Oreochromis niloticus: one gene and its partner. The protein of the gene in region 1 purifies or fractionates together with the protein of each later gene. This does not show direct contact. Links are inferred from orthologs where the notes say so. Each region holds a gene or a part of one and is shown on either strand. Other genes may lie near its edges.

Region 1 (7,650 bases):
CAGAAGGATTGTCCCGTCTTGCCTATGCTGCCCAGTCTTCATATGTGGAGTCATTAATCTGAGGACAGAATGATACTTGACTTCTTATGGAAACAAAACACATGAGCTGCAAAAGCCTGTTGTTTCCTTAGCTTGACTCGCTCTTCTTGGAAGGCTTTCTGACCTTAATATGAGTCAGTGTTTCTGCTGCTGAAAACAGATGTGATGATGGTGTAGATGTTAATAATTAATATTAATAATAATTCAGCGTCCAACCTAACAACCCTCAGCTTAGTGGTTCAGAGTGGGCCCATGTGCATTTCTACTGGCTTTTATTTCTATATTTGAAAGAATAATACAATATCTGATATTATTGTCACGAAAGCCTTGAAATAAATATGGTCTAGTATACCCAACGCCCCCTTTAGACATGGAAACAAAGAAATTGTGTCGAGAATGTTTTAGAGTGATTTGAAGTACTTGATGAATCATTTTTGTATTTAATTCAACAGAAGCTTCTTCAACATAAATCCCAGCCAAAGATGATGAAGGGCAGAAGAACATGGAGCAGGCGGTTGGTGGTCTTCTTCTCTGACATGAGGTGAATGTGCTCTCATCTGTGAAGACGGCGGGATGCCGGTGGCAGACAAGCCAGTTCAGTATTCTTTGGGCAATGTCAGATAATCTGCATGGTTCTGTACTGTGAGAAGAAGTAGTTCCACTAAAGGACTGCCAGTGTTTGTTCTGTTCCTACTTGCACAGAGACACTGAGGCCCAGCTGATGCCTTTCTACAGCCCTGTCTTGTCCTACTTTCTTCTGTAACAGCCTATCCCCTGGTATTTCTACCACAGTATTGAAGCTGTGCTTGGAGACACACACTTCTTCCAGCTGCACCTATGGACATGCCATGGACTGTGGGCTGCTTCTGCACTGTTTCACAGTAACCCTAAACTGTACCTAGACTGAAACATTGCTGTCGACATGTGTCCAAATATCTTTAGGTGTCTGCAGGAACAGGGAAACTTCCCATCTTCAGTGTAACTCAGTGGTTTCATTGACAGGTTTTTAAACTTTGAATTCTGTTGGGTTTTATGGCTCATTAAAAGCCGTTTGAACAGAGCACTGTTTCTTTTTCATAACACATTGTTAAAGGTTTTCTGTTGTGGTCTGTTTGTCAACAGAATGAAATTTTGAGGTACAGGAAGTAAGTGTGTCCTGACTGTTTAAGAGTTGTCATTGTCAATCAAATGACTCTGATCAAATTTCTGCACGAGAGCACATGTGGGGTTGATGAAAACTAGGGAAGTGCGTGACTAGTCGAATAATCAAGGTCGCTGTCACTAAGTGGTTTAGAGCACTTCGCTCTCACACTGCAGGCCTACTTGTTGTTCGTAGAGTATTTAAAAGTAGAATGGGAGGCAGAGCCTTCAGTTTTCAGGCCCCTCTTCTGTGGAACCAGCTTCCAGTTTGGATTCAGGAGACAGACACTATCTCTACTTTCAAGATTAGGCTTCAAACTTTCCTTTTTGCTAAAGCATATAGTTAGGGCTGGACCAGGTGACCCTGAATCCTCCCTTAGTTATGCTGCAATGAGGCTGCAATAAAAAAAATCCTGTTTTCCTTCTCTCACCCCAACCAATCACAGCAGATGGCCCCGCCCCTCCCTGAGCCTGGTTCTGTCGGAGGTTTCTTCCTGTTAAAAGGGAGTTTATCCTTCCCACTGTCGCCAAAGTGCTTGCTCATAGGGGGTCATATGATTGTTGGGTTTTTCTCTGTATGTATCATTGTAGGGTCTACCTTACAATGTAAAGCGCCTTGAGGCGACTGTTGTTGTGATTTTTAGCTGTATAAATAAAATTGAATTGAATTGGTATAGAATAGAATAGAATAGAATAGCCTTTATTGTCATTGTACAGGGTACAACGAAATTGGAGTGCAACTCCCTTGGTGCAAAAATACAATAATAAATATAAATGTAAAATATAAAAGGTGCAATAAAACAAACAATAGTAAGTACAATATATACAGGATAGCAGCATTAATATAATGACAGTATGAATAGCAGCATAATATAATGACAGTGACAATATGGAGTAGCTAAGCAGTTTCAATTGTTTTTGTGCTTATTTACTACGGTGATAGCTCTGGGAAAGAAGCTATCCCTGAATCTGTTTGTCCTGGTTTTATGTGACCTGTACCGTCGGCCTGACGGTAATAGTTCAAACAGCTGATTGCTGGGGTGAGAATGGTCCTTGATGATATTGCCAGCTCTGCTGAGGTACCGAGAGTTTGCAATGACCTCCAGGCTGGGCAGAGAGCAGCCAGTGATCTTCTGGGCTGTGTTGATGACCCTCTGCAGTACTTTCCTGTCTGCAGCAGAGCACCCTGCATACCATGTTGTTATGCCGTACGTTAGGATGCTCTCTATGGTGGCTCTGTAGAATGTCACCAGCAGCCTCTCCTCCAGGTTGTTCCTCCTGAGCACTCTCAGAAAGTGGAGACGCTGCTGGGCCTTTTTTACCACCGCCGTGGTATTTGCAGTCCAGGAGAGATCATCAGAGATCTGCACGCCCAGAAACCTCATGGAGTGCACCCTCTCCACACAGCTCCCGTGAATGTACAGTGGGGCCGGGTCTGCTCTGCCCTTCCTGAAGTCCAAGATAAGTTCTTTAGTTTTCGTGGTGTTCAGTTGGAGGTTATTAACTGAACACCACTCAGTCAGTCTGTTGACCTCATCTCTGTAGTCCGACTCATCCCCCCTTGAGATGAGTCCAACCACGGTGGTGTCGTCCGCAAACTTTATGATGGTGTTTGAGAGATGGGTAGGGGAGCAGTCGGATGTGTAGAACGTAAACAGGAGGGGACTCAGAACACATCCTTGTGGAGACCCGGTGCTGAGTGTGATGGTGCTGGACAGGTGGGGGCCGAGTCTAACAGACTGTGGTCTGTTTGTCAGGAAGTCCTTGATCCAGAGGCAGATGGGGGTGGAGAGTCCCAGGTGAGACAGTTTCTGGACCAGGATCTCTGGGATGATATGATTAAATGCTGAGCTGAAGTCCAGGAAGAGCATTCTCACATAGCTTCCTCTGTGCTCCAGGTGACTCAGCGCAGTGTGGAGCGCTATGGTGATAGCGTCCTCGGTGGATCGATTAGTCCTGTAGGCAAATTGGTGGGGGTCCAAAGTGGGAGGCAGACTGGCCCTGATGTGCTGACAGACCAGTCTCTCAAAGCACTTCATCACTACAGGCGTAAGTGCAACAGGCCTGTAATCATTTGGGCTGACCACAGCTGTCTTCTTGGCGATGGGGATGATGGTGGAGGTTTTGAGGCAGGGTGGGACGGTGTTTAATGACAAGGAAAGGTTGAAGATTTTAGTGAAGACTCCGGTCAGTTCGTCAGCACATGCTCTGAGAACCTTTCCATGTATTCCATCAGGACCTGCCGCCTTCCTGGGATTCACTGACCTTAGAGCACACCTCACTTGATGCTCCCTAAGTGTTAGTGTGCCGGTGCTGGGGGCGGGTGGAAGTGGTGTGACAGCTGAGGGCCTGGTCGTCTCAAAGCGGGCGAAGAAACGATTTAGATCCTCAGCCAGCGAGGCATCAGTCCTAGATGTCGCCTGGTTATTGCTTCTGTAGTTGGTAATGTGATTGATCCCCTGCCACATTTTTCTGGGGTCGTTGTCAGCAAAGTGATCTTCAATCCTCCTCCTATAGGCAGCCTTAGCTTTCCTGATGCCTCTACTCAGGTCTGCCCTGGCCGCCCTGTACGCAGCCCTACAGTATCAGACATACTAGTGGTTTAATCTAATGATTAACATTTTAATTGATGCTCAGTGCTGCATGTTGCATCTCCAAAAGTTGAATCTGTTCATCTGGACGTAGCGTTTGGTGGGAGAAACGTTTCGTCACTCATGCATGTTGCATCCTAAATGTTATGGAGCCATCTGCTGCCAGCTGCCACAGAACTACAGCATCGTTGTAGATCAGTGTCCTAATGCTGTTAATCTAAGACCTGATCTTTTTGGTAGGCATGTTATTGGTTTCAAATGCCTTTGTTTAGACACTTTTTGACCCTGTCCATTAAACGGTCCTAAGATGGATTATCTGAGTGCCCCAAATAACTGAACATGCGGGTAAACAGACACATTGCACGCGGACCAATGAATACCTGCGCAGGTGAAATTGCATGTCATTTGCATTTGATGTTTTCAGTTCTTACATAATTATTTAAAACAATAACGTCTGTTATTGTTAAATCCTCACTGCACAGTCTTGCACAAACTGTAAATACCAAAAATGATTCTCTTAATATTTAATACTTTAGTATTTTATTATTTTTTTTTATTTTATTATATGTTCTTTCTTAATATACCTGTACACATGTACATGTTCATGTAAAGCTGAGGAACACGAGCATTACAGGTAAATGTTGCTACACTGTTTATCTGTATATGACAATAAAACTATTGTCGACTGGACACTACAGCTTAGCACTGTTAACACGAAAGCCAACTTTTAGCATACTTTCATCGGGCCGGCTTCCCTGCCGCTCAGTTGTAGCCTGTTTTCCATACAAATGGCTTCATGGCAGAGGTGCACTGTGTTGGTGCAGCGGCAGCCACATATCGCCGCAAGTTGTCCAATCAGCAATAGGGTCCACTCGAACGACGAAAAGGAGCGTAGGCGTTCACGGGTGTGCTGCGCGGTCACGTTATTCTGCTGTCACGAGCCTGATCCGAGCCGTACAGTGGAGGCTAAAGAATTGGAGCGGACATCAGTTATACAGGACGTAATATTTTTAACCAAATTTAGTGCGCGAATAGAGAGCTCAAAGAAGTCTTACCGCTGGTTGGTATTTGAGACGCTCTACTGAGTTATTCCGATCAACCGGTGATGTACTCCAGTATTTGAATGATATTGCTAGTCAGCTAGCTAGCTAGCTAGCTGTTAAGCTAGCTTTACGTTGCGTGACTCGAAGTAATTGAAGAATATACTCTCGGACAGCATTCTTACTAACACGTCTGAGTGCATTTATCTTTAAGACATTTATCAGTAGCCGTTTTTATCTTTAGCACATTTTTGTGGTATGAGTTATACGTAATTTCTAATCCAAGGTAGATGAGGATTGAATGAAATAACGTTAGCTTGCCATAGCCAAGGAAACAAGCCAGCTAACAGGGATAACGTTAACTTATCCCGCTGCTTGCTGATAGACTGCCATCCAGCGGATCTAGTAAATGCTACCTGAATTACCCACCTAAAAGCATCGACCGAACTTGGTAGGCAGCAGTCAGTCACAAAGTTGCAGAGAGGCAAACGGCTACTACCAAACATCAAGTTTGCCATCGTCGACTCCAGTCCGCTGTGAAACGGTGACCGGCGTCAGTGTTTTTCGGAGAAGGCCAGAGTGAGGACAGAAACCTGCAGACATGCCGGCTGTGTCGAAAGGAGATGGAATGCGCGGATTGGCCGTTTTCATTTCGGACATTAGAAACTGTGAGTTACCTTTCTTTATGCTACTTCATCATATGTGTTATTATTTCATTGTGTCATCAAAGTTGACATGGCTAATCTCATACATCATGCAGTGTTGTCATGTGGTATCCTCGACGCAGAAAGCTCTATCTACTTTTTTTAAAAATCAGTTTCGTAACGTTTAGTGGAACAATCAATATGATTTCTCACGTATTGACAGTAATGTGACTGTGGTGAAGTCACCTGCAGGAACAGAATAAAGGATGTTAGGCTTGGAGTAGCAGCTCTGATCAAACGTTTCCTGTTGTATAGTTGTACATGTTGGAAAGCTCGGCGACGAAAGTTCAATTCGCATTTGAAAATTTAGTGTCGTGTCAGGACGCTCCACATGTCTGACAGGCAAGGAAGACTGAAGCTTAAACGAAAACCAGTGGTTGGTATTTAAAACAACAACAATAGTATCAGTGATTACAAGTATAAATAAATAATAATAAATAATACTATTACGTGTAACAAAATGCTACATATTTCCAGCAATTCACTGTCTGTTTTTTTTTGTCAGTTTCCCAGTAATATTTATTCCAGTGATGACGAGAATGCCAGTTTTCACTGTTACTGAGTAGTAACAAGAATTTAGGAAGTAGTTTCCATCTCCTCTTTCCTTTTTGCCGTGATTACACATTTCAGTGTTTGTCACTGCAAACCTAACAGCTACTCCGGGCTTACATTGACAGGCAGTAATGGCTACTTCATGGTGGAATATTTGATACCTCCAGCTTTCATCAGAATCTGAAGTACACTGTATTGTTCTGCCTTTGGGCACGTTTAAAGAAAAATTCAGCAGAAAATAAAAATGTGTGACCTACAACTAGTGTAAATGTTCAAGGTGACGAATATTGCAAACATTTGCAGTGTCGTCTAGATGACTTGTTTTCAAACGTGCTGTGTCAGTAGGGCACCAAAGGGCAGGCAGACCTCTCCAAACACATGTGATTTGTAGCCTTGGGAAATAGACTTGATTACATGTTATCAAATACTCATTTGAAATAAATAGTAATAACATGACAGGTTGTATTGGAATGTTATTGACAAAAGCTTGTGAGAATGAATTTGAGTCTTGTTATGTCGGCAACAAACTTATGTAAATCAGACAGTGAACTGGTTGATTTGAGTCTTTTTATTTCATTTTAAGCACTTTGAGGTATTGCATGAGGTGTATCTGTGCTAACGGAAGCCTGTTAGAAACAGTTGTCTGCTGCCTGTCCAGTTGGGGAGTGTACCACTTTTTGGACAGATGGTAGTTAGAAAGCTTTAACTCATCAGCCATGCTGGTTGGTAGCTGTCTATCACTGTTTGAGCAGGAAGGCGGGCTGCAGGGTGACAGCCCATGATTAAATCCCATTCATTTATCATGATCATCATTGCTTTTCATGGTAAAAATGTTTTTTAGTGACAAGCTCTTTGCCTTCTGCTGTTCCAGTGTTGCTTATCATTATACCTGTTTAAGCAGAAAGTAGATCTGTCTTTAATTGTAATGTTACTTGTTCAGACTAAACACAAATTAGGTCAATAATTGGCAAATGCAGGCACGTGGTCAGGCAGTGGTTTAGGGAGAGCTTGTTGTGGCAGAACATGCATTTTCAGTATTGTGTGATCATGTTCGATTAATTATGGCCAGCCAAAATCATGATCAAGACCCTATTGTGACTGTTCTGTTTAATAAGGCCTAAGCACTTAAAGTTCAGTTCAATTTTATGAACATGACATCAATTGAAAACAATAGTTGCTTCATATTGTAAAGTAAAGGTGGCATGGAGATTTTGCCATGAAACAGGAAGTTGTGAAATCTGGTAGTGTAATGTCCCGAGATGGGCCATAGCCTGAACCCAGCTGAAGTCAGCTATTTGGCAACATTTTGAGGCTTTGTATTTGAGGAAACTCCTCGTAGGGATCTTACTGAATCAATTCCTTGGTCAGTCTAAAGTGCGATTTTAAAATGGTATATTTTTTTCTGCAGGAACATCCTAAAGCCTTCCAGTTCATTTATTTAAGCTCACAGTAGAGCGGGACTAAATATTGATACAGAAATGTGTCATCTTCCTTTTGCGATACTTTATCAACACACCATTGTCAAATATCAGTGGTGACCAAGCCTGAATGTTCATCCAATATGCAGGCTCTCTAATTTACCTC
Region 2 (8,019 bases), on another chromosome or scaffold:
GGCATACCTGACGATAGTATTTGTCATAGATGGGGTTTCCACTGGAGAGCTGTTTACGGAGAAAGAGAAGAATAAAAACAGTTGAGAGATTTTTAAAACACAGTCATTTTTACCTAAATTCAAAAATGTTCCTTATAACAATCTAACACTAATCGTTCAAATGATTTTTCAAAGTTAGCTCTGAAACAACCAACAAGAGTTTGACGGCTACAGAAAGTTTGTCATCCACTGAGACAGTTAAAGAGCTGCTTGTTTGAGCTCCAAGTATAGCCACTGGCTAAATATGTTAAAAACAGCTAAGAAAAATGACTTAAATGACTCATTTAGTAGAACGTTTTACCATTAAAGAAGCCACAGTGTGACTGCAAAACCAAAAAGTTTATAATGGCTGTGTTACAGGTAGGATAACAAATAAAGACAAAAACAATATAGCATCTATGACAATGAGTAGCAATCAGGTGCAGCAGTTTTCATCATTCATAAGTCAGCTGCTTATAATTACAATAAATCCAACTTTTACTCCTAACAAATGCCTAAAAATAGCAATTTCTTAAACTTTCCTACTACCTGCCATGTAAGCACATCAAATATTGTGTAATTTTGCTTAGAAAAATCCGTATTTATGCAGCATTGTTAATTAATTACCACAATCTATCCTACTAAAATGAGGCAGCTATTGTGTCTTTTTGAGTTGAAATAAAACATGTCTGAAAATGCTGATGTACCTGAGCATCTGATCAAAAACAAGCCACAACCTAAATATATTCAATTAATACAAAGAGAAACTGTTTAAATGTCACTGAGGCTGCGAAAATATTTGCCATTTTCGCTTTTCCAAACAACTGAATCCTTTTTCGATTAATCAGCTGACTGTTTCATTGAAAAGCTACTCTGCATTTCCACGTAAACATCGACACAAATACTCTGGAGAATGGATGGATGACTCAGAATACACCAGAAGGTTTATGCTGAGTTGCATGCAGAGAGAGTGATAACTTTTGTGATAACTTCAGGATGCAGGCTACATTTCCTGGGGCCCCCTGGTCAGCTTTAGGCATTTACAAGGCGTCACTCCAAAGGCAACAGTTAGTCTGGCCTTCTGTCATGTCCTCCCTAAACGCCCCTCTTTCCTCTGTTAAGAAAAATGTCTACTGTTGGACTAAAGAGGAAATAAAGCAGTGCTTCCTTATTTGTGTAGCTGAAACTGACAGCTGGTTGTTTGGTTTCAAATTGGCAGGTGCAAGGAAGGGAGGAAAGGGATGGACAGTAATTGTTTCAAGTGTGAATCAACCAGGGAGTGGCTAGTCAAAGGAGGTTAAGGCTTTCAGAGACATGTGAGATTACTCTCTATTGTAAAACAGACTTAGATCTGACACCAAAAACAACTCGCACACATAAAAAGCAAAGTTATCAGTCAGCTTTTTCACCCACCAGTTTACAGTGAAATAACTGTTGACACACACATATCTTTCTCTAGTCAATGCAACTTTTTTCTTTTCCCCTATGACACACAATACTGTGCCTGGGACTGTTGGCGTCTGTAACACTGTGGTCTTTGTACTGGTGACTTTAATTGAGCACTGAAAAAACACCCCTCACTCATCCCCCAGCTAGCCCATACAAAACTGCAGCAGATAGCCAGAAACATCAGGGCGCAGGAGCTGGCGGGACAGGCTAGACTGTTCTAGAGATTATAACCACCCATGGTAATAAAGCACACTGATGTCACTATCAACACCAAACATGAGGCGAGTTTGGAGATTATCGGGCATCTGACAGGAACACTTACAACAAGCACTGGTGCCTGACAGGCCAATGAACTCCCACAGCTCACAGATAAACACAGGTTTCAAGTCATTTGAGAGACAAGGATCTCAAAGCTGCTGCTGGCAGGCAACTCCTGTCTGTTGCTGGAAGTAACGGCAGCTCAGGTAACAAGTCCACGACCTAAAGCTGCTAATTTAACCTGCCCGTCGCCTCCTAAACAACACAGACACATTCTGACGCTACATTATTTAGAACTTAATTTAGCTAGCAGCAACTGTGCAGCCTTTTACGACAGTAGAGGTGGCTAGTGGCTTGTTCAATTCACTTCCTCTTGCTAGTTGCAACATAACAGCTAACGATATGAGGAGTTTTCTCTATTAACTATTTGTTAACAGCAGCAGCTAACAGGCTAACTGTTAACGCTGTCCACTTTTGAAAGGTGACAGGGGGGAAAGACACCAAGCCAGTCACCGAAGCATGTTTACTTCTAATAATAGCAATAACCAGGCTGCCTATTCAGTCTAACCATGTAACAAAGCTACATACACGGCAAGAAAATCCAACACATAGGCTACAAGCTTTACTGTATATGGCTTGAGTGCTTTATCAGAGGAAAACAATGTTAGCAGAGGCTGAAGTAGCAGAAATGTGACAGTAGAGCCACACATGGGCAGCCCAACACCCAAATAGCCTGCAGCAAACCGGGCAGCACTAAATACGATTAGAAAACACCCGAAAGGAAACGAAGACGAGCAGCGCTAGCTTACACGGTTTATCTCAACTTTGATAAAGCGACTCTAAAACAGCCCAACACTGGTCACAAACTAGCTGTTAGCTAGCAGGCTAGCTAGCTAGCTACGCCCTTACGCAGTCCCCAAAGAGATTAGGAAGAAACTTTTCCCAGTCACAGCAGGGCTAAACTTCCAAAAGAGGAACCAGAATCAAAGAAAGCCCGCGATTCTTTCAGCCAGGTTTAACCGACGCTGCCGAAACATCTCCGAGCGTAACAGGCAGAGGGCAGAAAGCGTTTGCTGTCGTTATATTTGAGTTGTAAGACAGTGTTACCTGAGTAAGAGACAGACTGGAAGCCATAGTGTTTCTGTTTCCCACCGCTTTCAAGCTGCGCCGACGACAGGCAGCGGTAGAGGCCGCTGAAAACCCTGAAGCCAGACCTCAGGGACCGACCTCCCCTCAGAGCTTCACCGTCCCTGCATCCCTGCGAGGAGGTACACAAATAACAAAAGCCAAGGCTTGCAGAGATAAATGACAAATAAAGACTTGACACACCCACTCTATGAATTTCTTTACTTTTAGTTGCGTCATTTTGCTATCGGCAATTTATTTTTCTATGGGTCGTTTTAAAATATATTTTAAATGTCTAATATATTAGGCATTTAAAAATATATAAATAAGTAGAATATCCACTACGACCAAACACATTTTTATTTAAGTTCGAACATTAGTGAAACACATCAAATTTTGTAAGTCTGACTTTACGTTTTATGATCAATTTTGTTTCAAAGTAGAATAAAATTGACAAAAAATGAACTGTTAAAATCTGTTATTTTGTCAATCTATTGAGCTTCTCATTTTCATATTAGTTTTTATTATTTTGCTTAGTTTTGCATTCTTGTTTTAAGGAGGCAGGTGATTTAATGACAATTTAAAGAAAATTTTAAAAAGCCTCATCAGACAGTTTTTGTTCACCTAGTCTTAGTTTTTAGTCTAATTTTATTTAACTGTGATAATCTTTGTGAGTAGATAATAAAATACAGACGAAAGGAGAAGATTCAAATGTAAATTAAGCTGAAGTATACCCAGGTACTGCAAACTGTAGTTTAGCTTAAACCTCTAGTTTAAACTGTAGTGTAACCTTTGATGAGCCCGGTGAGCAGTAAAATTCAAATGATTGCCAAATTTGAACAGATATCTAAATCAAATGAAGGAACCAAATTAAAATTCATCCATCCATGTTCTTCTGCTGTGGCCTGTCCCAGTTGTCATGGGTCAAAATTAAGGGGTCAGCCCTAACCAGGCCATCACCTACATAATAACAAATTAATTCAGTCTTTGGACTCTGGGAGGAATCTGGAGAAAACCCAGCCAGGGGAAAAGGGAGAACAGATAAATAAAACATAACGCACACACACAAAAGACACAAATTTCACAAAGATCTTTTCATTGTTTTCTTCTGGCTGTTTTATTGGACAGATCACCTGCCTTTGTTTTTATTTTACACAGCAACACAAAAATCGCCCCACTTCATTTACTACCATTAGTACAAAATGTCTTTTACAAAAGGAGCCTCTGTCAGACGGTTGGGACAGTGCGTTGGGGTACAGCAGTGCAGAAAACTTGGAATCAAAAATCAGGAAACTAGACGTATACACGAACGGTGAGGAAACCTAAAGTGTGTGCGTACCAAACGACCAAATGTTCTGCTACCGGAGTGGTCTTAATGTACATCCTAAGTTTGAGTAGAGCTTATTTAGACACACGAGACTATAGTATGTGCACTGAAGTGGAAAAAGTGTTACCTATACAGTACAAAACTATGCAAGGGACTTCATCTTAAAGCACCTCATATTACCATCCCACTGCAGACTGATTTTTTTTAAATTTTTTTTCACTTTTGATCAGGTTGTCAAATATAGTGTTAGTCCTACTGCACTCTGGTCGCCGTGCCAACAATCCTCGTTTGAATAGTGGAAACAGAAGAAGGCAAAATAACCTGCATGACAACATCGAATCTTATCTAATCTTTCCAGCCTGACAGGAATGAGTGAAAGAAAAATGTACAAAAATAAAAAATTAAAGGCAAAAAAAACACGTGAGGTAAACCAAACGTTTTCCTGGTACCACCACCTCCATACCAAATAAAACTTCTCATCTCATCACAATATTACACTTCATAACAACCCAGATTTTGTAAAATGTAAATGACAATTCACACATTTGTGTTAAAATTTCTGGTTTTGACATTCATTTTGACATTAATTATGCTTATCACTAGTCCTCATTTAATAATCATCATTATAATAGTAGTAGTAGCACATGGAAACAAGAAACAGAACATTTAATTGCCCTTTTCTGACCGATCACCTTGCTTTGTAAACAAAGAAATGGAAAAAGCCCTTCCCACCCAGCCCCCACCCCGGGGTGTCAGTCATCAGGGTCTCAGTCTTCAGCCTTATTCCAACGGCCCACTGACACAGTCTGAGCAGTTCCTGAGTTTATAACTCATCCTTGAGATTAGAGTCTGTGCCTTCCTCCTCCTCTTCTTCCTCCTCCTCTTCCTCATGCTCTTCCCCTTCCTCCTCCTCTTCGTCCTCCTCATCCTCCTCCTTCTCCTCTTCCTCCTCATCCTCCTCCTTTGCCTCTTCTCTCCTCTTCTTGTTCTCCTCCTCGCGCTTCTTTCTCTCGTCTTCCTCTTGGCTTTCCTTCATCTTCTTCTCAGCATCCTGGAGAAAATGTGAACAATGCAAATAAATATATCAATCTATATGAAAAGCTCATTCCTTCTTATTATTGTTGACACTGACATGAAATTAGAATTAGGATTACAGGGTACAGGGCTAAAATGAGCATACCTTAGTTTTGCCCCATGTGTCGTTGCCAACTTCCTCTGCCAGGTTTGGATCGTTTGTGATTAGAAAGTTGTCAAAGATAGTCCCAGACTTGACCTGCAGCCAGACACAAGGGCAACGCATATTTTGTTATCAAATCTTTAAAGAAAACAAGCACAATCCACAAACTCAAAGAGTTTCGAGCATTTCTCCCTGAGAAAACATGCATAGTTTTTCCAGCAGCTCACACAATACAAAGCAAGTAACCGAATTGCTGGATCAATGTAAATAGTTTTAAAATATTTAAATATATTTCATTATGCATTAAGATGTAAATACACATCCAGCTTACCTGCCACAAGTCGAGCCCAATCACCCCGACGCTGTCGTATTTATAGATCTCAGAATCGGCCGTGTACTCGGGGTTGTCAATCTCAGGGTGGATCCACTTGCCCTTGTAGGCAGGGTTGTCGATCTCTCTGGGCTTCCACTCACCCTGCGGACAGCAAACACACACAGAGAAACTGGGGTTAAAACACAAAGCGGCTGACAGTCTAAACAGTGTAAATATTTTTGGATAATATTCCAATCCTATTCTAGGAATCTCGCTGATGTGCAAAGCTCAGAAAAATAGCACAGAGTAAATACTGACTGCATGAAGAGTTATAATCTCTGGATATGCACCTTGTATTCAGGGTTCGTGACCATCGGTGGCTCCCACTCTCCATCCATCTCATCATCCCAGTCATCGGGCTTCTTGGCATCAGGATCTGGGATGTTCTCTGGTTTGTCCCAGTCCTGCAATGAAAACAAAAACAACAAAACATCTGAAACATGATCAACCTATCGAAACATTTTAAAAATTAAAACAGTGTTGCACACGTGAGACAAGTACTATCATTAAAGTGATGCCCTGAAAGAATGGCAGGTCATACTGACCTCAGGTTTCTTATCGTCAGGGTCGGGAATCTTCTCCCTGTCATCCCAGTCCTCTGGCTTTTTGGCCTCAGGGTCCTTGATTTTTTTGGGAGGGAGGAAGTCCCAGTCATCCTCCAGATTGCCAGATTCCACCTTCTTATTGTCTATCTTAACCTCATAAGTGTTGTCAGGGTTGACGATCAGTGTGTACAAGTGGGTGTACTCATCATCCTGCAGGGCAGAAAAAAAAGGTATATTGTTGGAAAAAGCGTGCCGTCAATACATGCAACTAACAGCATATTACCATGTAGTTTATTCTTAATTGTTTAATCTCGTGTGTCCTTATATTGTGGTGCTTTTTATTAGAACTAGCTTTCCTACTTAAACGTGAAAACATGCGTCACCTTGCACCGAATGTCCTTGTTGATCAGGTGGTTCTTGCCTTTGTAGTTGAAGATCACGTGAACTTTCTTTGTGCCAGGGCCACAAATATCAGGACCTGAATGAGCCCACAAATACAAAGTGACGGTGAATGTCTGTGTATAACAAACAGACACTGCTCTGTTTATCCAACAAAAGTAATACCATTTAAGACACCATCCTTTGGTCCACTTACCAAACATGATGTTGTAGACAGAGTCTCCGTGCATGTCCTCCTGGTTGAGCTTGGAGGGAAACAGTTTAATGTAGCCTCCGCCACAGTCGATGCTCTGCTCGTGTTTCACAGAGAACTGTATGACTAAAGGCTGGCCCTTGTTGCTGAAGTCATCAAAACGGGCTGACAGTGCATAAAAACGGGCATCCTGGCTCGTCTGCAGACCTGCAGAAACAATGGTGTTACTGCAGGGAAGATCAAGCTAAACCAGCGCGTACTCCTGTTCTTTCTTAATGAAACAGTACGGCCTAATTTGATGCTTTTGCTCTTTTCAAGTTGAAGAACAGAGAGGAAGACGGTCGTGTTGATACTGGCAGAGCTCCACGAGGAAGCAAACACGCGCCTCTGACAGCAGGTGTCTGACAGGGTTGTACAGTGTAATTGTGCAACACATATCAGCACCTTCCTGCTTACCTTTGTCTTTCTCTTCATCACCGTAGAATTTCCCAGCAGTCAGGACAAACTTCCCATAATCGGACTTGTGCTTGGATTCCGCCCAACGACTCATCCAGGCATCTGCACAAACAGGTTCAGAGTCAGCTGCCCAGCAATCACCAAGACAAGACTCGCAAAACTCTCTGTTAATCCAGCCTTCGATACAGTGTGTGTGTGTGTGTGTGTGTGTGTGTGTGTGTGTGGGTGGGTGGGTGGGTGGGGGGCATACTGCGGGATTTTGTGACTGCCTTCACAGATGAAAGAACAGGACAGCTGGGAGAAGGAGGGTAGCAGTGAATGACCAGGGGAGAGATGTGCAGCAGTGGGGGGAGGGGGGAGGCAGACGGGGTGTGATAATAGCTTTGAGGGCTGGGAAACATAAAGCACGAAATATGAATAAATCAATGAATGGATGAATGATCGGTTGGTCTTCTAGACTAATCAGCTGACGATGCATTCCAGAAATTGCAGTAAAATCATGAGAAATAATCGTAACAATGCGGACATGAAAAATAGCCATCATTCATCTCAGTCAGCACCACAGCATCTCGAAGATGTACAGCAGCAACAAAGAAAAGCAAGCACTTCAATCCTATCTGTGTAATGTTGTGTGAAAGAGCTCACCGCCGTCTTCAAATTGCTCGCGGAAATAAACTGTGGACTCGGCCAGTACAGATG

The links. The genes of interacting proteins can lie anywhere in the genome.
Region 2: the proteins of ap2a1 (region 1) and eps15 purify together in Homo sapiens (affinity purification with western blotting; 5 studies listed by BioGRID and IntAct, with this or other methods). This does not show direct contact. The link is inferred for Oreochromis niloticus from reciprocal best matches to the Homo sapiens genes AP2A1 and EPS15.

What each region holds. Positions count from the first base shown.
Region 1 is NC_031969.2:2,263,660-2,271,309, forward strand, and holds the start of ap2a1 (AP-2 complex subunit alpha-2), read left to right. Parts: upstream 1-4,633; 5' UTR 4,634-5,411; coding exon 5,412-5,478; intron 5,479-7,650.
Region 2 is NC_031986.2:43,764,438-43,772,456, forward strand, and holds the start of eps15 (epidermal growth factor receptor substrate 15), read right to left. Parts: upstream 3,001-8,019; 5' UTR 2,860-3,000; coding exon 2,833-2,859; intron 50-2,832; coding exon 8-49; intron 1-7. Other genes in the region: calr (calreticulin), read right to left, coding at 5,001-5,228, 5,358-5,450, 5,686-5,829, 6,018-6,131, 6,273-6,482, 6,656-6,750, 6,868-7,071, 7,321-7,422 and 1 more. UniProt on the Homo sapiens protein: Involved in cell growth regulation. May be involved in the regulation of mitogenic signals and control of cell proliferation. Involved in the internalization of ligand-inducible receptors of the receptor tyrosine kinase (RTK) type, in particular EGFR.